Danio rerio: one gene and its partners. The protein of the gene in region 1 interacts with the protein of each later gene in a biochemical or structural test. Links are inferred from orthologs where the notes say so. Each region holds a gene or a part of one and is shown on either strand. Other genes may lie near its edges.

What was found.
Region 2: of the proteins of clspn (region 1) and cdc7, one has a biochemical effect on the other in vitro, tested with the Homo sapiens proteins (3 studies listed by BioGRID, with this or other methods). The link is inferred for Danio rerio from reciprocal best matches to the Homo sapiens genes CLSPN and CDC7.
Region 3: of the proteins of clspn (region 1) and usp20, one has a biochemical effect on the other in vitro, tested with the Homo sapiens proteins (2 studies listed by BioGRID, with this or other methods). The link is inferred for Danio rerio from reciprocal best matches to the Homo sapiens genes CLSPN and USP20.

What each region holds. Positions count from the first base shown.
Region 1 is NC_133194.1:50,542,507-50,547,525, forward strand, and holds part of clspn (claspin), read right to left. Parts: intron 4,970-5,019; coding exon 4,848-4,969; intron 732-4,847; coding exon 604-731; intron 523-603; coding exon 405-522; intron 1-404.
Region 2 is NC_133177.1:11,292,422-11,297,440, forward strand, and holds part of cdc7 (cell division cycle 7-related protein kinase), read right to left. Parts: intron 4,622-5,019; coding exon 4,384-4,621; intron 4,252-4,383; coding exon 4,156-4,251; intron 4,072-4,155; coding exon 3,866-4,071; intron 3,533-3,865; coding exon 3,450-3,532; intron 1-3,449. UniProt on the Homo sapiens protein: Kinase involved in initiation of DNA replication. Phosphorylates critical substrates that regulate the G1/S phase transition and initiation of DNA replication, such as MCM proteins and CLASPIN.
Region 3 is NC_133180.1:33,925,644-33,930,662, reverse strand, and holds part of usp20 (ubiquitin carboxyl-terminal hydrolase 20), read right to left. Parts: intron 4,905-5,019; coding exon 4,835-4,904; intron 4,712-4,834; coding exon 4,598-4,711; intron 4,447-4,597; coding exon 4,368-4,446; intron 1,814-4,367; coding exon 1,381-1,813; intron 1-1,380.

The sequences.
Region 1 (5,019 bases):
CCTTCATCTGTAAGTGGTTAAACTGTTGGGGAAGGGGTTGTTCAGTTAAATAAATAAATACAATAAAGCTTCAATATAAAGTCTAATAATATTGACCTCAGCAAGTTTTACTTATACTTACTTTACATAAATATAATAGCATGTATTGTATAAAATAAAGTTAAACAGCACCTAAAAATACAAATATACACATGAAGTTGAATTAGTTTGCATTTATTTATTTCAACAAAAGATCTTTACTAATATAACTTCATAAATAATTTTATTATTAGTATTTTTGACACCTACAGTTGCTTCATACCTACTAAAGCATCTAAAATAACTTTTAATAATTACTCTTGCTTGAACAAAAACTGATTCTGAAATGTTTTATTTACTCTTTCAGCAGAAATGTATGCCTGTACCTTTCTTCTGAAGGGTCTTAGCTGTTAGCTTCATGGCTAGCTTCATGAACTGACTGTCCTCTTCTCCAATCTTTTCTTCATCCTCTGCTTCTTCTCCCTTTTTGCCGCGAGCTTCAGTCTACAGAATAGCATCATGTCAGACAAGATACACACAATCACAAACACAAAAGACAGCATTAAAACGCACACAAACACACACCTGTTCTCTAATCCACTGCTCCCTCTCCAGACGCTCTTTCCGTCTCTGTAACTCGATCTGATCTACTTCTTCATCATCCTCCTCCTCGTCTCCATCAGGACCCAATCCACCGAAGTCAAAGTTTTCATCTGCTCAAAACACAAGCAGACTGTGACCAAAATAACCAAAAGAGATTTATTTGTTGAAGGTATTTAAATATATATTATATATTTATTCTTAATATATTTATATATAAAATCTAAATTATATTACATAATTACATTATATAATTATATATATATATATATATATATACACACACACACACACACACACACACACACACATATATATATATATATACACACACACACACACACACACACACACACACACACACACACACACACACACACACATATATATATATATATATATATATATATATATATATATATATATATATATATATACAGGGCTCGAAATTGCGACCATTTTGGTCGCATATGCGCCCGAAAATTAATCTATGCGACCTCATAATATATCTGGGAGCATTAGTGCGACTGCAGATAATGGTTGTAGTGCGACCTGTTTTGGTTCTTTCTAAAAACGTGCTGAATCGCTCTTCCCTGCCGCTATATTGGTTCATATTAGCTGTCATTCACTCAAGGTATTCCGCTGTCAGATGACAGGGAAGGAGCTTTTATGACCACAGGAAATGCAAACGGCTGAAGAGTAAAAACTTAAAGCACACAAGTTTGAAAACCCCACCTAAAGTTGAGGCGCAGATGAAAGCGATCATGACACGTCACGTGGTGAATAATGATCCGCCAGCTGAGATCAATCGAGTACGCGCTTCTTGGAGAAGGCGCCCGAATCTCCATGCGTCGCATTCACTGCGTGTTCAGCGCAAATGTCCGCTAAAAGTCAAATCTAATACTGCACATATCATCGCCAAAGAAGCTCGCCTTTACTAAGTTTACACTGAAACTGCGGCTCATAACAAAGACCGGATTTGCGCCGATGGTTAGCGCAATAATCTTGCGCTGCCTACTTATTAATTGGGTCGGCTGACTCGCCAGCTTTCCACAAACACAGAAAAATGAAGATCAGCTCAGACTGAACCTTTAAATTGACACAAACTGAAACCAAAACTTTTAAAGAGTGATAGAAGTGAGACTTTACTTACTTTCTTTTGTCTATTCTTTTTTGAGTTGTATATTATTTTTTTATTTATTTACTGATGACTGCTTTACAGCTTTCATCATTGAATTGAATGATTTATTATAATCTTTTGTTTGTTTTGTATCAGAAATATTATTTATTAAATTGACATGCATATAAAAACAGCAGTACAAAATAAATATTTCTTACTGCAATGCTTCATTTTTGTTTGATGCAAACTATACAATTATTTTTCATAAAGTAACAGACTTTTAATAGCAGATAACCTACATTCATGCACATTCAAGGCAGCATCATAATGAGAAATGGAATTCATTGTTACTATTATTGTCATTTTCATCATCATTAATATTCTATGGCCTAATTATTAGACATTCATTTTGGAATTATTGCACACAAATATCAATGTCTTCGCAGCTTTAGTTAGATAGTTGTTTCTGGTTTTTGTTAGTCCTATTAATATTGTTTTAAAATACAATAAATCCCTTAAAAAACAATTTGCAGCTGTGCTCATTCATTTTTGGTGGATGCTCCTAAATTTTTTTCTGGTGCTCCTAAAAAATTTTTGGTGCTCCTAAATATTTGAAGTTGGGAGCACCGGTGCTACCAAGTAAAAAAGTTAATTTCGAGCCCTGTATATATATATATATATATATATATATATATATATATATATATATATATATATATATATATATATATATATATAATTTTCTTTTTATAAATTTGATTGGCTGATAGCAGTGCGATATTTTGCCAGTAACATCACTCACAGACCTCTTCATCCTTCACCTTGTTTAGATTGCAACTATGCAGTTTATTTGTAAGAATAGTGCCTATTTTAAGATATTTACAATTTCTGAGAGAGCTCGTCGGCAGCCATTAGCCTGCCATAGAGTAGACCAAACACGGTTGACATTTTCTATCCACAAGATGGCGACAGAACCACATAATAAGCCCTTACACTTATAAGATTATAACAGTCTGATTTTTAACTACAGCAGATCAAAATCAATATTAAACTGGTAAGCACACCTGCCAGTGTCCCGTATTTCAGACCAGTCTCCCACAAACATACCCGATTTTTGTCAGAGACATGACCCCCGAACACCCCCTACCCCCGGATTTTCAGTCATGTTAGCAGGTATGTTGGTCGATCTCTCTCTTTTATATGCTGTAGCGCTGTATTTATACTGATTTGCTCGCATATCAGGAATGTGTGTTGTGTTGGCAGATTGAAATAAGCAAAGCCTTTTCCTCACAGCAGCAGTCTGGGAGTGATTGCGTTGCTTTTTTCAGGGTTAACTACTGCAATATTCCAATTGCAACAGAGAAATACTGTAGACCAGGGGTGTCCAAACTATGGCCCGTGGGCCATCTGCGGCCCGCAATCAGTTTTGTGGCGGCCCGCGAGGCTTTTTATAAATATTAATAGAATCTGGCTCGATATACAAAAATGAACATAATTCAATAAATAACCACCGGGTGTCGCTATGACACGCCTTCAATTAGGCAGCAGTTCCCGTAATGAAGCAAAAGAAACCGAACAAACTGAAGGAAACATAATTGATAGTCACGTTCTGGCGAGCCATAATACAACCAAGAAAAAGGAAAATCAACAGTGAAAGCAGGACATTTTAGTCACGTTGGGGCAAAGAATATTTCTTCACAGAGGTCAGCGGGAAATGTATCTGTTTAATTTGCCAGGAATCAGTTGCAGTAATGAAGGAATATAATATTAAAAGACATTATGAAACAAAGCATCAGGCCTTCAGCTTTTACACTGGTGCCGAACAAGATCAAAAAGTAAAACAGTTAGCAGCTGCCCCTTCAGCTCAACAGCAGTTTTTTAATGCTAATAAAGTGCAAGAAAATTCTATGCTGGGTAGTTATGCACAGGAAAGCCTTCACTGAAGGAGTTTATATAGGAGTGTCTGATGAGTGTTGCAACTGTAATTTGCCTAGAGAAGATTCAAGATTTTAAAAACGTAAGTCTTTCTAGAAACACAGTTGAAATAATTAACACACACACACACACATATATATATATATATGCGTGTCTGTGTGATGTATGTAAAATTTGGCCCGGGACGTTTTTTTTTTTGTTTTTTTTTGCATCTGCCCCTCGGCCAAAAAAGTTTGGACACCCCTGCTGTAGACTGTAACACTGTAAGAAGATATCTCTATAGACTGATGGCACTCCATGTCATGTTCAGCCTTATAATCTTAAAGTGTGAGCAAAATCAGCAGTTTTGTCATCACTTTAGACATTACGCTAGAGAATCATTCAAATACTAGCTCTAAAGTGACGTTGGTGAATTAGTAACGGCTTCTGCTGTTCTGACCTCAGCTGCAGATGTGAATGAATGGCGGAAGAAAGTAGTTCCTAATAAAAAGGGGTTTTAGACTCTCCGTTTGATTTTCTTATTTATATAGACGACTGTGCCATCGAGCTGTTGTATAAACACAATATTACACTCGTAGCAGTTTTTCTTTCCCACAGTTGTCTTTGGTAACCCTTTGGTTGAACCCTTGTGTACATGCATGCTCATATTTGTTATTGTTGGTTTTTGCCTCATTGACTTCCATTAGATTAGAAAACCATGACAGCATATAATCATGCATTCTTGATTGTTGCTGGATTTCCCTGTTGGGAACGTTGGCCAGGAGGGAAATTTTCTAATACTCTGGGTAGTGCGTACCCGTGTGGACACTACAACCGTAGTTTTCACCTTACGACGTCTTTCTCTTTTCTGAGTGGCCAATACGGTTGAGTTAAGGCCAAACACAAAAAAACGTGACTGAAGTGAATTCTGCACATTCGTTGGACAGTAATCCACCTCTGTTCTCGCGTTTGTATTGACTTCTATGCAATTTAAACCTACTTAACTCCCTGTTTGGTGTGAACTCTACATAAGTGTCATTACCCCCCTGTTGGTTAGCCATGCCTTTAACATGCATCTTTTTAGTTTATTTTTTATGAACGCAGGAAAAACTCGGTTTATAAAAATACCCGTGCACATGTGCTCATAGCCTCAATAACAAAATGTCAGTTTTTCTCTAGATGAGCAGAGACGCACCGATGTTTTTCCAGCGGAATCTGCGAGCTCGTCCCGGACCATCCGAATGCAGATCTCCATCTGCAAGGTACCGCTCCTGATAAAGCCGCAGTTTGCGCTTGTCGTCATCCAAGATCTGCTTCCTGTAGAGAGAAAACAATCAGGTATGCATCTGGCAGCAGATATCGCAGCA
Region 2 (5,019 bases), on another chromosome or scaffold:
TATAATCATGCATTCCTGAATGTTGCTGGTTTTCCCTGAGCTGCTTGTTTTGATTTTCCCAAGCAATGTCTCTCTCTCTCTCTCTCACACACACACACACACACACACACACACACACACACACAATTTCATATAGAAGGCAGAAATTACGCTTTTTTTGCACTGCAACTGATGATCAACAATAAAAATGACACATTTTATCTCTTCCCAACAGGGAAAAAAAAACAGCAATGATTAAGAAGGCATGATTATATGGTGCAATTAAAAATGTCATTAAAATGAAAGTCAATGGGGCAAAAACAGCCACCATCATAATGAATCTGTAGAAATTTTGCTCAAAGTGTATTGTTGAATTTTTGAAATTTCCCAAAGCATTTTTTCAAAATATGTCAAAATAAGATTTCTAACCAAAAATCATTTCATTTGCTGAGATACAGAGAAAGTTGCGGCCAAATTAAGACACAAAATCATCCCAGAGCAGATGAAAACATCCCCAACAGCACACAAGGGTTAATCTACTATTGGTGTCCTAAACCTTTTTATTAAATTGTTGAGAGAAAATGACATGCCTTAGTGCAGTGGTCACCAAACTTGTTACTGGAGGGCCGGTGTCCTGCAGATTTCAGCTACAACCCAAATCAAACACACCTGAACAAGCTAATCAAGGTCTTGCTAGGTATACTTGAAACATCCAGGCAGGTTTGTTGAGGCAAGTTGGAGCTAAACCCTGCAGGGATACCAGCCCTCCAGGACCGAGATTGGTGACCCCTGCATTCCAGAGTTTATCATCAGAGACAGTGACCCAACTTGGAGCAAGTCACATGCTTTGTCTATCTGTGCTTTAATTAAAGAATGTCATCATAGCTTTATATAAACGATGTAACAAAGTTGACCAGAACGTAGGGACAGACCATGGGCCCGTCTTCGTACCTCGCTTAAATGATCTTGGATGATTTGTCACTTTTAATCATGATACCTGATCTCTGGCTGATTTGGTTCTTCAAACAACTTCACGAAACATTAAAATGTCTGGATTAACTGATCGGAGATCGGTACACTTGTTGTGATGGACTGATCTATCGATCCTCAAAATCATGACCAACGATTGGCTTATGGCACAGCACCATAATGACATCATCTGAGTAATATTCAATTATCCATGTGAGAAAAATTGCATAAACTTCGTAATAAATGGTTTGATAAATATGATAGGCAATAGCTATACGCTTTTGTTGTTGGTTGTAGGTTTTGAACTTTGAATGTAAAACTAAATAAATTGCTAAATACTCTTAACTCAGAGCTAATTTTCTTTATTATAGTATAATAGAATTTAAGTTTCTCAATTGGTGTAAAGAATTTAAATTAATTTTGCATCAAGCATTTTGATTTCGGGTGTCTGCAACTTTTACGAAGCATCAAATCACCATCATATTATCTGTCAAAACGTGCATGACTGCATACATTATTATTTCTTAAAATAAAAAAAAATTAACTAAAAATTTTTTTATAAAATAAACAGTTGAATGATGTGCATGTCTATTAATATACACAAAGCTGGGTCGGTACATTAAAATAGTATTGGTTTATATCTAAAAAGTCCATATTAATAAATGCTCTTTTTGAACCCCTTGGGAAGAACCACACCTTTTTTGTACATATATTTTGGAGTGCAAATAAGTTTTATTTCTATATTTTATTAAACTTGTATGTATACAAGCATAAATATTATTAATTACTTAATATTAAATTTTATTAATTGTTATAAATGTATATATATATATATATATATATATATATAGAGAGAGAGAGAGAGAGAGAGAGAGAGAGAGAGAGAGAGAGAGAGAGAGAGAGAGAGAGAGAGAGAGAGAGAGAGAGACAATAACAAGCTGCGAATAAGAAGCTGGATTCAGAACAGCTTCTGCTGTTCTGACGTCAGCTGCAGATGTAAATAAATGGTGGAAGATAGTAGTTCCTAATACAATAGGGTTTTAGACTCTCTGTGTTTGATTTTCTTTTTTATGTACAAGATTGTGCCATCAAACTGTTGTATAAACGCATTATCACACTAGTAGCAGTGTGCTATGGCTGTATATCAGCACTGGTGGGGCACAAAGCACGCCTCCCACCAGTGCTGATATTGACCTTATTCTAAAATGCAGAAGTGCGCCTGTTATCGCGATTGTCTTAGAACTTCCGATTCAGTCGCCTATGGGAGAAATGACTAGGAATAATAAACAGCAGAAAATGGTCAAACTACTTGCTCTACAAACAAATATTTGCATGACTATACAGACCAAATAGAATAATATAATAAAAAAAATCTAATTGCAACATCTAGCAGCATAACGAGCAGTTTTTAACGTTAAAAAAATAAATGGAAGTGAATGAGACCGGAAGTCTAGAGCCAAAAAGATTCAAATGGCAGCACCCACTCGTCGGCGGAGAATAAGGTGAATACAGCCATAGCACACTGGTACTAGTGTGATATTTCTCACATATACACACACACACACACACACACACACATGTATAAAACTTTTTTTCTTATTTTACTTATTTCCCAAGTTTATATAACCTATAGGTTACTACTGTAAGAAAACGTCAATTATACCTGCAATTGTAGAATGACCATTATAAATTTCAAATGGACGTGTATAAAGTACACAACAGTGTTTTCACTAGGATTTTTTTACAGCTGTGGTGGCAGGCCTTTTTTTTTTTTTTTTTTTTACACAGATCTGCTAACTACCTGTTGCGTTATTTCAATGACAAATGTCGTGAGCGCAGTATTACAAGTTGAGATCGGATTTATGTAATAGCCTACGAGCATGTGAAACTCTTTGCTTGCGCGCCGATTTCCTCTGCTAGTGCACAAAACTTCTTGCACATCCTTAAATATACGCTGCTCAAGCGCAGATCTTCTTGTGCGCGCTCAAATAAATGCTGCTGGGTGCGATTTAGTGCGTTTATGTAACGAGTATGTCTCCAACATTTATTAGATTTGCTAGGAATATTATTGAATGTCTCCAATAGACCTACAGAGCGGTATTAATGCGCCCTGAAGTAAAGTTAAACTAGTATACGTTGTAATTGCTGGCCTCACGCATCTGTCAGTCAGCACATAACCTTAAAGGGTTAAACAAATAACGCACAGTACTACTACGGTTACAGAAAAGTTTGCCCCGTTATAATTCACTTACCTTTTAATACGTTTTGGTACGATTATCACCCGCTATTAAAAAAAACAGAACTGAATAATATGAATAAAAAGTTGTAATGTAGCCATGGCGGGATCAATTTTGGTGTGGCGGAAACCATGAACAAGTTTTAAAAAAAGACAGAACTGTACCAACTGTTAAAGAGATAGTATTTTCTATACAGTGAGCTGGAATACTGAATCACATCCAAAATAATAATAATAATAATAGCATTGCTTTTGTTAGCTTTACCTGTTCCCTGGTTGGGACACTTGGTTAGAACCTCAGGAGCCCTAAACCCAGGGGTACCAGCCCTCGGAGCCACCTGCTGTTTCCTGTGAAAAAAATAACCACACTATTAAATTAAAACCATCAAATAGAATGTTTTTATTGAGAAATGCAAAAAAAAAAAAATTCCTGAAAAGGCTGATGTAGCTTATTAAACACTCAAAATGTAACTAATCACTAGTCACTATCACTAGTTCACTATTAACAATAAATCTGATAGCAGTTCATGACAAATGTGGGTGTTTTTAGAATTGGGCTAAAACAGAGTATAGATGCATGTAGTAGACTGTGTAGTGTTGATCTTTCTTTTTTCTTCACCGTAGACATGCCACAGTAGGCTTTTTAAGGTTTGGATTGATGTATAGATGACGAGTGTGTACCTGGACAGGCAGATGTTGCAGACGCGGTCAGTCATGTAGCAGTTGCAGGTGAGTAGGGGGTTGACGGCAGCAGGTTTAGGTTTCTGACTCTCAGCCGGAAGTTTCTGTTTCTGATTTAATGGTGCTCTGACAGGGACGGAGCGATGTTTGGCAGAAACAATCTTGCGTGGAATTACTTCCTCCTTTTTGGGCTTTGAAAGCAATCCCTAAAACACAATGTGACAGGTGAAGAGCTGATAGTTATTCAGACGGCATCGCATGCAACCAGTGTGAGAAGAGACAGAGCTAACCTCAACTTTGTCAGAGCCTGGTTTATGAGAGTTTGTGCTGTTTATGCTTTTCTCCCCAAATACAGACCGTGGTGCTTTATCAAGTCCCATCAGTTCCTTTGAGAGGAAGGACACATATTTTTGACATGAATACGAAATGAATCAATATAGGCCTGGAAGTGCAGTGCTCCCCAGTTTGACTGATTATCACTTAAAATATGATTTATTCATTAAATAAAGTGCAGACACCTTGCTGTGTTTAACGCGTGAGGGTGGGCAGGGTCTTTTAGCCGGTGCTTTAGTGCTGGACTGGACAGCAGGGTTTCTGCTGTTGGGTGGTAAAGGCACCAGTTTCTGTTTTCCCAGTGATTCCTCCACCATCTTAGATGACCCACCACCTTTATGACCTTTTGATTTGACCACCTTCAGCAGTTCGATCTGGGTGTCAGGAGTGCCCTGAGCCAGGCCAAAATCCACCAGCGCATACCTGAGGGAAAAAAAAGAAAAGAAATCAGCATGTATCAGGATTTTTGGACTTCAAGATAACAGTCAAAGAGCCTCCGACTTAATTTGTTCATGTGCAATAAAGTACCGCACATACCCAATGTCAGTTTAGTGTTCAACATTCAGCACGGGTTATTAAAGGTGGATTAGGTGTGAACAACATTTAAAACCATTTTGCTCTTATTTAAAGCCTTAAAGGGTTAGTTCAAAAAAAGTGAAAATTCTGTCATTTGAGCTAATGAACAGCAGTCGTTCCCAATTCCAGTCCTTGGGACCACCCGCCCTGCACATTTTGTATAGGCAGTGCTCTAAATTAACCGTTTGTTTAGGTAGCACCGATGCTCCCAACTTCAAAAATGTAGGCGCACCAGACAAAATTTA
Region 3 (5,019 bases), on another chromosome or scaffold:
AGCCTACTGGCTTTGCAGAGAACAAGCGGTAGGCAAAATATCAGTGGCCACAAAAAGTCATTGTTTTAAAGGAGTGTTTTTTTTTAGCTTGTTCTAATACATTCAATATTGTTTTGTCGTTGTCATATCTCATTAGATGTGACATGCTTCATAAAGGTTTCAAATATGAAAGAATTTATATATCATTAGTAACCATTAAGTATGTGACAACTTAAAAAAAAAAAAAAAAAAAAAAAAACATTTAGGTTCAAAAACTAAATCCACACTTCAGATAGGATGAGGATTATCACGTTTTTTTTTTTTTTTTATCAAATAGATCCCAATCTAAGTTTAAAGTTTTGAATAACCCAAAGGGCAGGTTTTATCCAAATCAAATGTAAGATTTCAATACATGATCTGATCTTAATTAAAAATCCCACTGTTACTTTAAAAAACCCATTTCCAAATCTTGATCCAATCTGTGATCCAAAATCCCACTGGACTGCTTTTGAAAAAGTGGGCACAGATTATTTAACTGATGCGATTGATTCAGTGTGACTAATAAACGCACAACTATAGAATCATCTCACAGCAAGATTCATTTCAAACACTGAAGTTATTGCGAGTTTGGAGTTAAACCATGTTATTATTTGTTGCATGTTATTATATGTTACTTTTATTATTTACTAAACAGAGCTATAGTTCACTGAGAAGCAACTCAACAGCTGTTAATATTACAGAACAATGATTTTAATGTCATTATCGACCAAGCAAATCAAATAAATTTTTTTACAAATTTTTGTGTAGCTTCTCAGTGTACTACAGCTGTGTGTAGTAGATGCCGCTCCATCTGATGAATAGAAGTTTTACTAGAACCGTCTTCACTGAAAAAATGCACATAAAAATCCTCTTTGATTAATTTGCCAGCCCTAGGGTTAGAAGAAGAAACATATAATGCATAATAGAATAATTACTGATCACGTGACACTGAAAATTGGCAAAATGGCTGCTGAAAACTCAGCTTCTTTCCTTGCAGCAGACGCCCTTCCAGCTGCAACCCATCACTGGGAAACATCCATACACGTTCATTCACAGACATACACTACGGACAATTTAGCTTACCCAATTCACCTATAGTGCATGTCTTTGGACTTTTGGGGTGGAAACCGGAGCACCCGGAGGAAACCCATGCAAACACGGGGAGAACATGCAAACTCCACACAGAAATGCCAACTGTCCCAGCCGAGGCTCGAAACAGCAACCTTCTTGCTGTGAGGTGATTGTGCTACACACTGTGCTGCTTGCAGTATTAATATTTCACATTATATTTTTAATAAATGGTAAGCATAACTCTTTCAACAATAAAAACATGAAAAAATCTCAATTTTCAGGCCATCACACCTGTGTTTCCTGGTGCCGGCACAGCTGTGGCTGGTGTCGCTGTTTCAGTTTCTCTCTCAGCCTGTCCGTCTTGTGCAGCTGTGTCCACATCTGCATCCTCATCCATTTCACGTGTCCTCTCTTCTCCTCTTCTCTCCTTCAGCCTCTCTTTCTCCGAGATGCCTCCGGTTCCTCTCACTGCCACACATTCATCTTGAATGAGGAGCTCTGCTTCTCCTCCTGCACGCTCTCCATCTCCCCTTTCGCTTCCTGATCCAGAGTCACACGACAGGAATTCGTCTTCAGAGGGGCTTCGGTCTCCGTCCACAAGATTACAGCTGTCCAGACTGAGGTCAGGCTCGACTTCAGAGATGCCACCGCTGCAGTCAAACAAAGGCTCCTTCAGCTCCTCGTGAAGCTGGTCCATCAGACATCGCAAAAACTCCTGAGTGTCCTAGAAACAGGCAAGAAACAAAATGTCAATGAGGTTTATATTATTTCTTTGAAAATAATAGTCTTTAAAAAATGCACAGTAGACATCATATGAGTGTTATTACTGTTTAACAAAACTATTCAAAATCAATGTTGTCTGGCACCGGTAGCCTTGTGGGTGGTATGCTGACATGTAGCACCACTGCATTCTGGGCAATTAAAGTTCGAATTAAAGCTTGCAGACTTTTCCTGATAACCCTCACTCCCAAATACTCTAGCTTGTCTCACAAATCTCCTTTAACAATACAGGTAAAAATGTTTTTCAAATATATAAATAAAAGAAATAAATCTTTGAATAAAATACACTCACTGGCCACTTTATTGGGGTACACCTGTCCAACTGCTCATTAGCACAAATGTCTAATCAGTCGATCACATGACAGCAACTCACTGCATTTAGACATTTAGACGTGGTCAATACAATTTGCTGCAGTTCAAAATGAGCATCAGAATGGGGAAGAAAGGTGTTTTAAGGTATTTTGACATGGTTGATGATGCCAGAATTTGGCGTCAACAACATGAAAGCATTGATCAATCCTGCCTTGTATCAACGGTTCAGGCTGGTGGTAGTAGTGTAATGGTGCAGGGGATATTTTCTTGGCACACTTTGGGTCCATTAGTACCAATTGAAAATTGTGTCAACGCCACAGACAGCCTACCAGTGTATTGTTGCTGACCATGTCCATCCCTTTATGACCACACCTTTATGACCACATCCATCTTCTGAAGTCTACTTCCAGCAGGATAACATGCCATGTCATAAAGTGCGAATCATCGCAGAGTGGTTTCTTAAACCTGACAATGAGTTTACTGTACTCAAATGGCCTCCACAGTCACCAGAACTTCAATAGAGCACCTTTGGGATGTGGTGGAACAGGAGATTCACATCATGGATGTGCAGCTGAAAAATGCAGCAACTGCAACTGCATGATGCTATCATGTCAATATGGAGCAAAATCTGTGAGGAATATTTCCAGTTCCAAGTTGAATCTATGCCACGATAAAGATAAGATAAAGACAGTTGTGACGGCAAAAGGTGGTCCAATCTGGTACTATTAAAGTGTACCTAATTAAGTGGCTGGTGAGTGCATAACTTACTGATAAATAAAAAATCAAATAGCACTAAAATACTGAAATAAAAGAGATCTAAATCTAAAATTTTTTAAGCCTAAATAAAAGACCTGACAGAATTGCAAATAATATAACATACTATAATATTACCATAATATAACAGAAAAAAAACATTAAAATAAAAATGAAATAAATAAACACTACACACTATAGTGGAATTTAAATAAAACACACTACACACTATAGTGGAATTTAAATAAAACACACTAGGGCTACTACAATGTATTGTTTCAGATTGTTTTCAGATTGCACATCCACTATTGGCAGAATGTGCAGTGTCATGTAGGGATTATCAATGACTTGAAAACATGAAGTGGTCTACATATATCAATGGTCTTATATATATATATCATCATTATATTATATATATATCATATATATGATATATATATATATATATATATCAAAAATATATATCAAAAATGCTAAATATTGCTATGTATTTTTTCCAATATTGTGAAGCCCTAGAATACACCACAGTGCTTCCCACGGGTTTGAAATATATTTGCGGTGCTAGCTGGATTGAAACACACCTTTTACCCACATCAGATAAATAGTTAACTATATGCAACAAACATAACAATTTAATTGTTAACAATAATTAAATTTATTAAGAAACAGTTTCCTTACAATGGGTTAAGGTACAAAAAAAAAAAAAAAAAAAAGAAATTCACTATTTCTTTTAATTTTAGGCTATTCAGGAGCCATGTACACCCACTGACAGATAAAATCTGCTTTACTCTATCTCACAATTAAGTTCAGTTTGCTTTATTGGCATCAAATTAATAAAATATAAAACAAATTAGAAATAAATGACAGAAAAAAGGAATAAAAGTAGACAATATCTCAAAAAAATATAATAATTACAAGAATAAAACATCTAGATAATTTAAATAGGGCAAAATAATTGATTACCCATACTAATAATGTACATATATTTTTCAGCTAATTTAGAACTCATAATTTCTTTCAATTCCTTTCCTCTCTGAGTATATAGAATTAAAAAATAATTATTTAATGTTTCTCTCACTCTCTGTGTGCATAATTGATGACAGCTTTAGAAAGCGAAAGCAAAAGTCAAATCCCGGTAATTTCAGATTTAGAAACCCCAGTCTGACAAAAAAAGCGCATCTCTGTGGGTGTTTATAGAATGTGAAACTGTCTGTGAAAGGGTCGACAGGTCTTAACCACACAGATCGAGCATGAAACGGGTAAACGAGAGAAGATTTTCCACTACTTAATCGATTGTAGATGTTTCGTTCTATTGGGCGGATACAAAAAAAAATTAACATACTTGAGCGGTAAGCTCAATAAAAGTTTACCTGTGGGAAGCACTGCATGAAATAGTAGTATACAGACTTTACTAAAATAACACTGCTTTATACCTGTTGAGCATAGCCACGAAACATGGGGTTCACCAGTTTGATTCCATGAAACAGAGTAGTTGGCACAACATAACTCGGCCTGGACAGAGGGCCAAAGAAAGCACAAAAGAGAGAAAAAGAAAGGCCATAGGCAACAATATGGATACTTAATTATGACCAAAATCAATAGATTAAGTTCAACAGAACAGGCCAGATCTACGTTAACGGTCTGGCAAGTCAGTGCTTGTTACCGTTTCTTGTGCCAGAGTTCAGAGATAAGCTTCTGATAGCTTTTACACAATGCCGGCTTCTTATCCGTACGCACCAATCCACTGCAATCCTGGAAAAACTGAGTCAAAGGAGGACTGGGAAATGAATATAAAGAAGCAGGAAACCCAAAGTCAGTTAAAGAGCTGGACGCGCAGACCTGAGAAATCAATCAGTGCAATCAGTCACTCAACAAATCTGTGTCAGGATTTTAAGCCTACCAGTTGGACAAGGCCTGCAGTGCAGCATTCATATAACAAGAGTTTCCAATGTTTTTCATCCCTGTCAGACCTGGGAAGGGTAAAGAGTATTAGAAAATAACACAATGAAGCTTACTATGACTAATTTTGAAGTGTTGAATTTTAGCTGTTGAAAACACAACAACTGACAATAAGATACAATATAA